Linked DNA regions of Nothobranchius furzeri. The protein of the gene in region 3 purifies or fractionates together with the protein of the main gene of each other region. This does not show direct contact. Links are inferred from orthologs where the notes say so. Each region holds a gene or a part of one and is shown on either strand. Other genes may lie near its edges. The genes, in order: grb2b, crkl and map4k5.

The links.
Region 1: the proteins of map4k5 (region 3) and grb2b purify together in Homo sapiens (affinity purification with mass spectrometry; 7 studies listed by BioGRID and IntAct, counting the BioPlex papers as one, with this or other methods). This does not show direct contact. The link is inferred for Nothobranchius furzeri from reciprocal best matches to the Homo sapiens genes MAP4K5 and GRB2.
Region 2: the proteins of map4k5 (region 3) and crkl purify together in Homo sapiens (affinity purification with western blotting; 3 studies listed by BioGRID and IntAct, with this or other methods). This does not show direct contact. The link is inferred for Nothobranchius furzeri from reciprocal best matches to the Homo sapiens genes MAP4K5 and CRKL.

What each region holds. Positions count from the first base shown.
Region 1 is NC_091752.1:67,730,780-67,734,533, reverse strand, and holds the start of grb2b (growth factor receptor-bound protein 2b), read left to right. Parts: upstream 1-1,604; 5' UTR 1,605-1,742; intron 1,743-3,754. UniProt on the Homo sapiens protein: Non-enzymatic adapter protein that plays a pivotal role in precisely regulated signaling cascades from cell surface receptors to cellular responses, including signaling transduction and gene expression.
Region 2 is NC_091746.1:46,874,937-46,878,675, forward strand, and holds the start of crkl (crk-like protein), read right to left. Parts: upstream 2,942-3,739; 5' UTR 1,992-2,941; coding exon 1,681-1,991; intron 1,254-1,680; coding exon 782-1,253; intron 1-781. UniProt on the Homo sapiens protein: May mediate the transduction of intracellular signals.
Region 3 is NC_091758.1:19,751,735-19,755,488, forward strand, and holds the start of map4k5 (mitogen-activated protein kinase kinase kinase kinase 5), read right to left. Parts: upstream 2,877-3,754; 5' UTR 2,744-2,876; exon of another isoform or gene 2,542-2,743; intron 2,224-2,541; 5' UTR 2,103-2,223; coding exon 1,995-2,102; intron 1-1,994. UniProt on the Homo sapiens protein: May play a role in the response to environmental stress. Appears to act upstream of the JUN N-terminal pathway.

The DNA.
Region 1 (3,754 bases), on a different chromosome or scaffold from region 3:
ACAGTCAAACAAACGTGTATGCAATTGTGGCCTAAGAGACGCAGTGACAAGTGCACAGCTCAGTTTATTTTCACCAGCAGTAATTTATCCATGGGTCATTTTAATGATTATTTTTCATTTTCAGTTGTATATCCTTTTTTTGTTTGTTTATGTTTATACTTACATTATTATCTCCCACTTTATTTTTTAAATATTTCTGTAGTTTTAAATGGTGATCTTGATTTAATTAAAACAAATGTGTTCATTGTCTATTTTTATAATTTGGAGATTTATTTTCTTCTCTATCAGATTTTCCCCCTCATGTGATTTTATTTACTCATCATTGATCCAGTTTTCTCTGCCTCAGTTTTCGCCCTACACATGATGAATGAACAACGTAAAAACAATATGAAAAAAAATAAAATGAGGACTAATAAAGACAGAAACATCTCTTTAAATTGCAATTAAATGTTTTGTTCCAATATTTTACATGAATTTTCATTTCACACTTCCTACCACATGGGTGGTTGCTCTTCCACTAGACCTTCAATCCCATAGACATGAATCTGTAGATGCCACATTGGTTTTTTTTACTGAACACATTTTTTATACAACAAACAGGGCAAACGTCCTATCAGTATCTAAACGTGTTGAATCATCTTTTACCACAGAAATATAATAACAAACACTAACGTTTGTAACTAACATAAAAACATGAAAGTGTGAGAGCCTTATTCTAGAAGTTTGAAAAAGACGCCCCATTGGGTGCTGGAGGGCGTAAAAACATTGTTGCCATATTGGAAAGGTTCCTCGCTCTCCAAACCCAACTGAAGTCAATGCAGAGTGGGCAACTATGCCTGGTTTTGTGCGGCCTTCATTTGCAACAACCAGCGACAATTGTAAACAGATCATGTGGTTACTATTGACTTTTCTAGCCTACCTGATGGTATTTTATATAGTAATTTTTTTTGTTTAATTATATTTATGTTTTAATGGTCATGCCTTACCATATGTCTGATTTTGTGGAAACAAAACTTGATAAAATGTGGGGTTTTTTTGTTTGTTTGTTGAGAGTAAGTATCTTCCTCAGTAGAAATTAATGTAGCGGGGCGAATGGAGACCCATCCAATATGGCGGCCCGATGCTACACCAGCGACAGACAGCAGGCAGCTGTGCTCAATCCAGTGCTGTTGTCATGATGGTATCTTCCCACTAGGGGGCAGCCTTTTAAAAGCATTTGATCTCTCCCGTAAAACAAAAATTGAAAGCAGATGTGCTAAATAGTGAACCACTCAGTTGGTTGTAGACTGGCGTATCAAACATTATCGTCTGTTTGCCTAATCCCTTACTGCAGTTTTTTTAATCTGGCAGAGAGGTACTTTATTTTTAGGTTTTGGACAAATTTCACTTTTAACACCATAAGTTTCAGTCTGAACTGATTCGGGTCACCAGATAAAGTCCCTATAATCACATATCAACGTTTTTCCAGTCTGTTTAAAAGTGTCCTGGCTGTGGATGAAACGGTAACAGAGGTGGCTGGGTTGACATGGACTGTTGGGAGGAGCTCGGGTCTGAAGAGCACCAGCTCGGCAGAAGGAAGCGGAAATAAACGCTCTGCTACCAGCTAGCTTCGGGCTCCTAGGACGGGCTGTGAGCGACGCTACACACTGTTGGTTGTCTCTTATGGGGAGCAGGGAGAGCTAAACAACACGGTAACGTTTTGTTCCCTACGGTGGATTCTTCCCAACCGATCGTCGCAAGCGGTAAGACGCCGTTACCGTTTCGCATAAATGTGGTGTACAATAAAGTGTTTTCTCACAGAGTCAAGTTCACGATAGCAGCTGTAAGCTAGCAACAACAGCTTGCGCTAAGAAAAAAGGTGTTTTCTTCCTTTTTCCCGTTTCCCATCATGAGGCTTTCTATCGGGCTTTAATCATCACTAATCTTTTACAACCCCCTCTAAACGTCGCCTTCTGCTGTTCTATCTAATGTAGTCCGTTCGATAAGTTTGATCATCACACTGCATCGCAGTTATTGTTGACCGAACGTTAGCCGGGGTGCTAACGTTCTAGAACAGTGGGCGCAGTCTACTCTCTGGAACCGATTCGATCCCTTTACACGGGAAGCGGTTTTAGACGGGTTCTGGTGGCGGCATCGCCACTAACGCGACGTGCGGGCTTGGGTTTTGTGTTTAAAGTTGGGAAACGACGCGAAGGTGAGACATTTGGGCAACTGGCAGCTGTTTTTCTGTCGCACCTCCGTCTCATCATCCATTTTCATGACCTGATGTTTAATGACACCGCTAATGTGCTTGTGTGATCCTTTGTGTTCAGCAGCCTTTTATCAGTCAGGGCTCGACTTCCTCAGATACAACAACTCGTTATGTGACAAAAAACCTCCTTCATAACACCGTTAGTGTCCCACGTAATGCCGTTATTACTAACTAGTAAACTATCTACCATCACTAACTTATGCCTTGTATTTTTATGCGTCTTGCAGAATTGCAACACGCTTGTTTGTTATGATTATTATTATTAGTCCTCTGCCAGCATCTGGCTAGCTGTCCACGTTTAACGGCCTTATTTGGTAGAGCTGTGTGGGTGTGAGCTCATCAGTTCTGTCCCCATCACCTGTTAGCAAACGAGCTAATTGGATAAGGCGACTATCAGTTCAACCCTGCAGCAAAAGGTTTCGAGCTGTCTGCGTTAACCCACTTATCTCTGGTTGTTGTTCTCAAAGGTTTGTTGGGATTATCAGATTGTGGCCTGACCCTTGGACCAAACCCATATGTTCTCCATTAATATTAACTAACTGCTATGAATAGATGTTCCCCCTAAGTGTTAAAAGCGCAGTCTGATGAAGCAGAAATCATAAACAATTTTCCTGTGAATGTAAATATTTGAAAAACTTGCTGTAGAAGTGGTTAGTGGTGCTGATGGGTTTTTTTTTTCCCCTCATTTCTGTTTTTCGGAGGGCTTTGCATTTAACCAGAGTTGTATTATAATTTCTGTTTTGGCCTCAGAAACCATTACATGTGTGTGCCATCGCCTTTTCCCTTTGCAGACATACAGGGTGGTTCTCAGTGTCAAGGCGCCTTGCTTACGAGGACACTGTCCTTCCTTGGTCAAAGAAAACGGTTAAATGGAACAGACTTGCATCACATGACACGGGAGATAACGTTATATTTTCTACGTATTAGTTTCAATATAAATATCTAACGAGTCTTTTACTTTTTAAATTGTGTATATGTTTATTAAATTAAAAATATAAGTGAGTTACTACCCGCTAGCCACCGAAGCTGCAACTACTAAGCAACTAACCAACCATAGATAACTTCTTTGGATATAAAAAAAAAACATTTTAAATTAGCTGACTTACTTTTAAACTTGAAAATTTGTCCCCGAAGTTGCTGCCGGTGTTGCGCCAAAGTAGTTACCCCCGTCAAAAATTGTTTCCCCATTCACGGGAGCGCGCAAAGTAGGAGGAGGCACTAGCCCAGCTCCGTTGGGAATACTTTGTATAGAAAAACACTTTGATACTATAATACTGTAAAACCAGACGTGACCATGGAAACACGTACAGGGTATCCGCGGGTCCTTAAAAAGTCTTAGAAAGTCTTAAATTAGCTTTTCCTAATTTAAGGCCTTAAAAGTCCTTAAAAATTACAAATAATCCTTAAATCCAGTTTCCAAAGGTCTTAAATGACCAAAGACCCAATAAACAAGATTCTTTTATTTCTATAAAAATTTCGTGAATCTCTAGTTAGTGTTCAGCA
Region 2 (3,739 bases), on a different chromosome or scaffold from region 3:
ACCCTCCAAGCTTGATGCTGCTGCTGGTGGTGGTCAGAGGGGCCTGTGGCACCTGTGTATGGCAGCTTCGCCTTTGTCAGTGACTTTCAAGCAGCTGTGGCGACATTGTAGCTCATCACCAACAGGGCGTGAATGTGTGTGTATGGATGAATGATTCACTATAGTGGAAAGCACTTTGGAGTCCACTGACTCAGAAAAGCGCTTTACAAGTGTGGATCATTTATCATAAAAGTAGTCAAAAACAGGTTAAAGCCACTCCTACTTGGAAAAGGTTAATATTTGCATAAAAGCACATTAAAATGTAAGCATAACGAACACCAAAGAACTGGAAGAGTGATTTGAGTTATTCTGGGACTGTTTCACACCCTGATGAAGCAGCCGTGTAGTTTCAGTACTGGTGTCCAACTCCGTTCTGTTTAAGGGAACTTTACTGGTGACTTTAACACATTCCATTTTGTACGTTATTGATTTTACAATTTTGTGCGTGTTGGTAAGCTGTCCAAGTAACTAAAACTGAATCATTTTTAGAAATTCTGCTCCGAGATGTTTCTAATACAATTTTAACACAGCTTATCTTGTATACATAGTAATATTTTGTTCTTCCATGTGCAAATTTTTATGGTAATTGTTCGTTAAATACATAATATATTAAAATGTCCACCAGAATAGAATTGGTAAAGGACTAAACTGAAAAGAGGAAAGGAAAAGCTGGTCCAACACATTTCACATCTGGTGCAAACTTTAACATTGACCGAATAAAAAAATAAAAGTTCTACAATACCTCTAGAGCAAGAGCTGTTTTGTCATAGGCACATGGCACTCGTTTCTGGATAGCCTTTGCCACAACAGGACCATTCGGCATGGAGGGAAGTGGATTGATGACTGCTCCGGGTGTGCCGGGAGGCAGCGGGGATGACGTCTGAGGTTGGGCGTAGGCGTTAACAAGGGTGTGAGAGGGCTCAGGTATCCCGTAACTGTTGGAGTTGCGAGATCCGTGTGTGGGCTGGCCAGGGTGGGGTGGTCGTACCAATTTCTCAACGTAGGGCACAGGGATCATACCGACACGTCCGTCTCTATTTTTGGCACTCCACCACTGTTCCTCAGGCTTCTCCAGGATGATGAGGAGCTCACCCTTTTTGAATGGAAGGTCCTCCGCGTCGCTCCCAGTGAAGTCGTATAGTGTCCGCACATACTCCAGGTTCTCCTCTAAGCCAATCATAGGCTGAATGGGACTGCTGATGGTACTTTGATACCTTGGGAAGAGAAACATCAATCACTTTACTGATGCAACTCTGTTGTCAAAGCAAAACTGAAACAAACAAAAAAACTAAATTATGGGCATTATGTACCCTTAAAACTTAGGAAATAAACCTAAAAACTAGTGTATAATTGTTTAACTGGGATCTATGTGTGCTTTCCACAGACGTGGTTTAATCACAATAGTTTAAAATACATGACAACTACAAAAAACAACAATTTAAAGGGGAAAATTAAGTAAAGGCATTAGTATACATCCAAATAAGCCAAACCCAGTATCCACATCTTGTTTATTAACCACGTCTCCACAGGCTTTAAATGTGTAAACCAGATGTGCAAAACTCGAACTGTGCAAACTATGCTACAACCGGTTATAATAAAATATCTAAGAGAGTAGTTCGTGGTCACAGGAGGGATTTTTACCTGGGAGCAGGTTCTATTAGCGTAGTCGTGTCCAGGTAGTGGATTTTGTAGAACTCCAGGAGAGCTGGGAGGTGTTCAAACTCTTGGTCGCCTATCTTAAACCTCTTGCTGGGCAAAGAATTGATTATATAGTGAGAAACCTTGGAGTTCTCCGACACTGACAGCACATAGTCGCCTGGGCAGGTGGAGGAATCTCGAACTAGAAACATGCCATGCCTCTGTCCCTGTAACCTGTTCTGTGCTTCCTGTCGTGACACGGGTCCAAAATACCAGGCCGAGCGGTCGGATGACTCAAACCGAGCAGTTGACATTTCTGTTCAAATATAAGTTAATAGAAATTTAAAAAAAAACACGTGAAAGTGGGAGTTCAAGCAATCGTACTCTCACAGCAAACCGTTGGTTTTGGAAGATGCAGGGCAGGGCATGCGCCACCCTGGAACGGTTTCCAGTAATTTCTGCACAAACGCTGCAGGCTCTGTCGACCTGAATAAATAAGAAAAATCAAAATAAATCTGAAGTTTTCAGGAATAGGGAGCGAGTGACTTGATCCAACTTTGGAGCATAATGCGCTTCCTCTGGCTCAGCAGTCCGAAGCTGAAGAATTGTTGAAGGAGCCAAAACGAAGAGAATGATTAACTGACAGAAAACAAACACCGTCGGAGACCCAAGCTGCAAACGATCAAAGAGGCTTCCTTCTTTTCGTTCCGCCTTCCGAGAAAACACCAAGCTTTTCTACAAATTGTGTATCTCTTTCAGACAGTGTCAGTTATGAGAACGGAAAAGGTGGCCTCAGTTTTTCATCCGATGAATCCCCATGTCAGCAAAAGGTTGACAGCAGCCGCTGGTAGGTAACAAGTAAATAACTCAAATCCCTTTCACGGCGAGGCACGCGTCAAATAAAGAGCTTTCCGAGTTCCTTCTCTGAGTCGAAGCAGAGTTTTGAGGCAACACAGCAAGAAAAATGGCGGCCCCGCAACACGTCTTCACCCGAGAAACAAATTCAATGCAGCGGTGTGTCTGCCGCGTGAGCATCCCAGGACTTGGACTCGCACTCCGGAGCTCCCGCGTGCATTCCTGACGGCTCACGAAGTATCCAGACTCGGACAGTCTACGTTTTGTACTTTCCTTTCTTTTCCCAAGCAAGTCCTCCTCTTTCTCAAGCCAACCAAAGTGCGAGCTTTAGACCCAAAAAAATGGCGACGGGAGGGCAGGTCCCGCTTTCTAGCTGCACGTCACCGACTACCAGAGAAGGGGAAGGGGCGGAGGAAGGGGGGGCTGGTGACGAACACACGAAGCGGTCCCCACCCCCACGTCAGGATCTCGCGGCCACTCAAAAAAACACTGAACACAGAATAAAAGATTGGTCTTAAAACTAAAACACGTGACTTTTCTGAAATTTACAATGTAAAAATCTGATTTTAAGAGATTTAACCCTTTATAGAGTCATCATTGAAATTTCAACCACTGTTCCAGTAAAAGAAATGCCCAAAAAAAAACAAGTAAGACAATGTGTAGTTTTTAATCATTAATCTCTGGAAATATCTATCAAAACATTTTTGAAAATGCATAAAATGATGCAGTCGTTGAAAAATATTGGTGGCTTCATAACATGTAACCATAAAAATGGCAGTGTTTCCCCTATTTTTCCAGCTGTGGCGGTGTGGCCGGTGTCGGTAAAAGATCTGCTCGGGTGCAAGATCGGCTCGGGGTCCGTCGACTGCCGATCACGTCAAAGTAGTTGATTGGCTGAACATGAACCTTACGGAATTATGTAATCACGTTACGTTATTGGTCCAGGCAAATCTTTCTGTTGGAAAGATGGACAACTTTTACAAAGAAATCCATCATTACCTCTTTGAAAATACACTTTTAGCATAGAGCTGCATGTATATTAGGGCTGAACAATTAACTGCATGCGCAATTAAATTGCGATGAGACAAAAGGAGATTTTCTAATCGCAGACTGCAATTTGGCAGCGAGTGGTTAGCGCAATGCTGATATACGTGGAAAAACCAATTGAAATGCTAATGCTAATATCACAATTACATTTTTACAAATT
Region 3 (3,754 bases):
TTTTGTATGTTTTAATATATTATCCACATTTTTACTGTTTTCAATGATGTCGGTATGTTTTTATCTGTGTGTGAAGCACTTTGGTCGACAGTGTTGTGTATAAAGTGCTATAAAAAATAAACGTGGATTGAATTGAGAATTCTTTAGTGTGAAAACCTTTAACCACAACTGTTTCTAATTGATACAACAACTAAAACCCAGCTCCATGTACCCTTACTCCTCTTCTGTGCCTTCTGGAATAACTATGACAAGGAGACCATGTATTATAAACTACAAATGAAACTAAAACTAACTGTATTTTAATATTGTGGTGTTTCACAAACTTAAACCCACATCCATGTACTCCTATTCCTCCCTTTTCATCTCTGGACTAACTGTGGGTGGGTCCTGAAGCAAACGTCTTTGCTGTGAATTAAATTTACTGTGCATCATCATCCTTTCTGCCCTCGTTTGTCAAACTGTTGATTTTTCCTACTCGAAAGTCAGAATTTTAGATATCCGAGGAGGAAGCGAATGCATCATTAGCTAATAGCAATGGAAGTATCAAGCCAACATTATCTTAAACAGTTTATTTACCTGCTGGAGCAGATTAGGGTGATGATAACTCACTTTGAACGTTGCCAATGTTGTCATCATCCATCCCATTTAGTGAAGTGGACCCAAACTTTAGAGTGTGTTCTTTCTACCACTCTGCTTTCTCTATTTACAGCTGGCATGCAGCAATGGACAACATAATGCTCTTGCACGTGCGCTGCGATCTATCTTGGGAAACCAGGGACTGAACTCTATGGTACCAAAACAAGGCACCATCTCACTGTGGTCGGTACCACAGAATTCGGTCTGTGTCTTAAACAGTACCAAATACAATAACCATCCCTAGACACATTTCATGTTAAAAATGTATAACTTTGGTCAAAGAAATTAGAAAACAAATATATATTAACCATGCATTCCCAAGAGAAGTTATTGCCATTCTGACAGATTGAAATAATTCATCTGAGAGCTTCAAGTATAAAATGAAAATTACAATAAAAATATTCAGATGTAACGATTTGTAGGTTGTTACTTTAATTTTTTTTTAAAACACCTACAAATCGTTACACAGGTTACATGCCAGCTACATGATAGTCCCACATGTTAAATTAGGCTGTGAAAAAAATAGAAGAAACAAAAACATAAAGCATCTCAATAATAGAACACATCAAGTTTAGGCACGTTTGTGCTACTTTGAATAGGAGATATTTAAGAGAAACATCTTGCTTTGTTATGAAAAATTGTTCATCGTGCTTTTGTTTCCTTATGTTTGTATTTCTGCAACACTGCTGTGCAAAATGCTCCTGCCAGCTTCAAATCACCTAAATTTCCTCATGTCCTAATGCTCCTATTCCAAATCTACTGGCTCCCCATCTGCTCTATAGTACATTATGACGACATTACTTCTCACTTAAAGGGCACTGAATGGTAAAAATCTCAGAAATGTTGTGAATGTATTCCATATTTGGTTCTTTTTTAAAACACAGAAAAGGTTCTTTTACCTTGCTGACAGTTTCGTTTGCCGTCAGCAAGGTAAAAGAACCTTTTCTGTGTTTTAAAAAAGAACCAAAAATGGAATTAGAAACTAGACACAGCAAGAACATACCAAAGATGTTGTCTATGTATGTTCCTAACAGATTCTTGAGGTCATGTGACAAAGGCCAGCTGGTTGTGCCACATCCAAGGCAGAAAACTAAAAGGTTAAAGACTGGGGTGTAAGAAAATATCAAAATGTCAATATAGCATAATGTGCGTGTGTGTGTATATAAAGTTTTACTTACTCACTTAAAATATTTAAATATCTGAGTCCCGTTCCATCCAATTATATCATTTAAAAACATCTGCAGCTAAAGTGTTTGTGCTACTCATAAACCTGCAAAACAAACCGAGTTTATGAGCTGATTAGTCATCTTATCTCCAGCTTCTGTGGCAGACTCTGGGAACCAATGACTCCATCATACCTTGTAAACGTCTCCATAGGTCCCACTTCCCACCCTTTGAATGAGCTCAAAGTCATGCTGGGGGTTCTTCCTCTGAATTTCACCACTCGGTCGGGGAAAGATATCCATGACAGCTTGAATCAAATGGGTCCTTTACATTTAGTTGGCTTGACTCGTGGTTGCCGAAATACTGGTCTTCAATATGAGCCGATTAATACAACTCATAAAGTCTCTGTCGTTGCTCCATGTCCTGAGTCAGATTTTTGGAGAAAGCATAAAGAAAACATTTAAAATACTAGATTAATGGTTATCTTTAAAAGTAACAAACAAGAGTCCAGGTAAAAGCTTTTAAAGTGATATTTTTCACCAACTGTTTAATGTGTAACAATGTGAATTATAATGTTTAATCACAAAGTGTTTCCCTTATAGGCAGCAAATGCACCTTTATTTACAGAGGAGCACCGTGGCTATTCCAGCAAATAGCCAGAGCCAGTCGGAGGGTTAGTCGGCTAACATACTAGCTAACAATTTAGCTCCACGTTTGGTTCAAACTAAGAACTGTACTTACCGTTTAAAGCACAAAACCAGCAGGCACACAAACGCTGCATTTTTATCGTCTCGAAACCTTTAACTGTGCGATGGCGTCGAACAAAAGAACGAAACGGCCAGCAGTGCTCCTTTGTTATCGAGGAAACAGTAGTAAACTTCACTCCGCACCGACTACATAGTACACTTCAATCTCCGAAAATATCCTAACATTAAGTTTTCACCTTCTTATGTCATTAGCCTCTATTGGCAGTTTTAGAGAAGCGATAGGCTCAAACGTAGGATTTTAACGGAAAACTGTCTGTCTGAATAAGATATTTTAACGGAATAAATAAAAAAAAAGACTCCCGTGAAAGCAACAGTGTGCTGCTAATCTTTGTAGACCAGAGTTGCTGGATTCTAATATGCTGCATTCAGGGTACCTCGAAATATCTGCCAGCCCGTCTTTCACAACACGAAAACAAAACACACTGGCAAAAATAATCAAGTTTTCACTAGTTTGTCACTTGTTGCACATTGCAAAAACCATGCCAGTTATATTTTTTACATTAACATTCAAATTAAATCAACATAATGTTACAGTGTTTGAGACAAAAGTAAAGGTCAGCCTTTGCATATTTCCAAACAAATTCTTCAAAAAGTGCAAGATGTTTCCACGAGTGACACTAATAATAAAAGTTGATTGTGTCACTACATTTCAGTTCTAGAATTAGCTAAAATGTCTTCACAATAATTTATTTACTTTGTTTATGAAACGAGGTGGCTGGCATACAGAGTGATTTGGAATAGAATAGAATAGAATTTATTGATCCCACAGTGGAGAATTCACTCATTACTGCAGCACATACACTTAGAGAAAATGAAGAAAAAAATAAGATTAAAACTAAACACACAAAGACATGCTATTATTGCAACCTTCAACTTGCACAAAAAACAACAAATAAAAGGAAATTTGGGTTTCCAAGACTATGCAGGGACAGAGACATACTAATGTACATCCGGTATTGCACAAGTATTGAATACGTACTCAATTTTGCATTGCATTAATGTTATTGTGTACCAGGATAATACAGTTCAACTGTGGAGATATACACTATTACTGCAGTGGGAATGAATGACCTACAGTAGCGTTCTGTTTTACATCTTGGTCTCAATCTGCCACAAGACACTGAGCTGTCCATGGCCTCCACAGTGATATCAAGTTGACTCCAAATCCACCAGAAAACTACCATTTA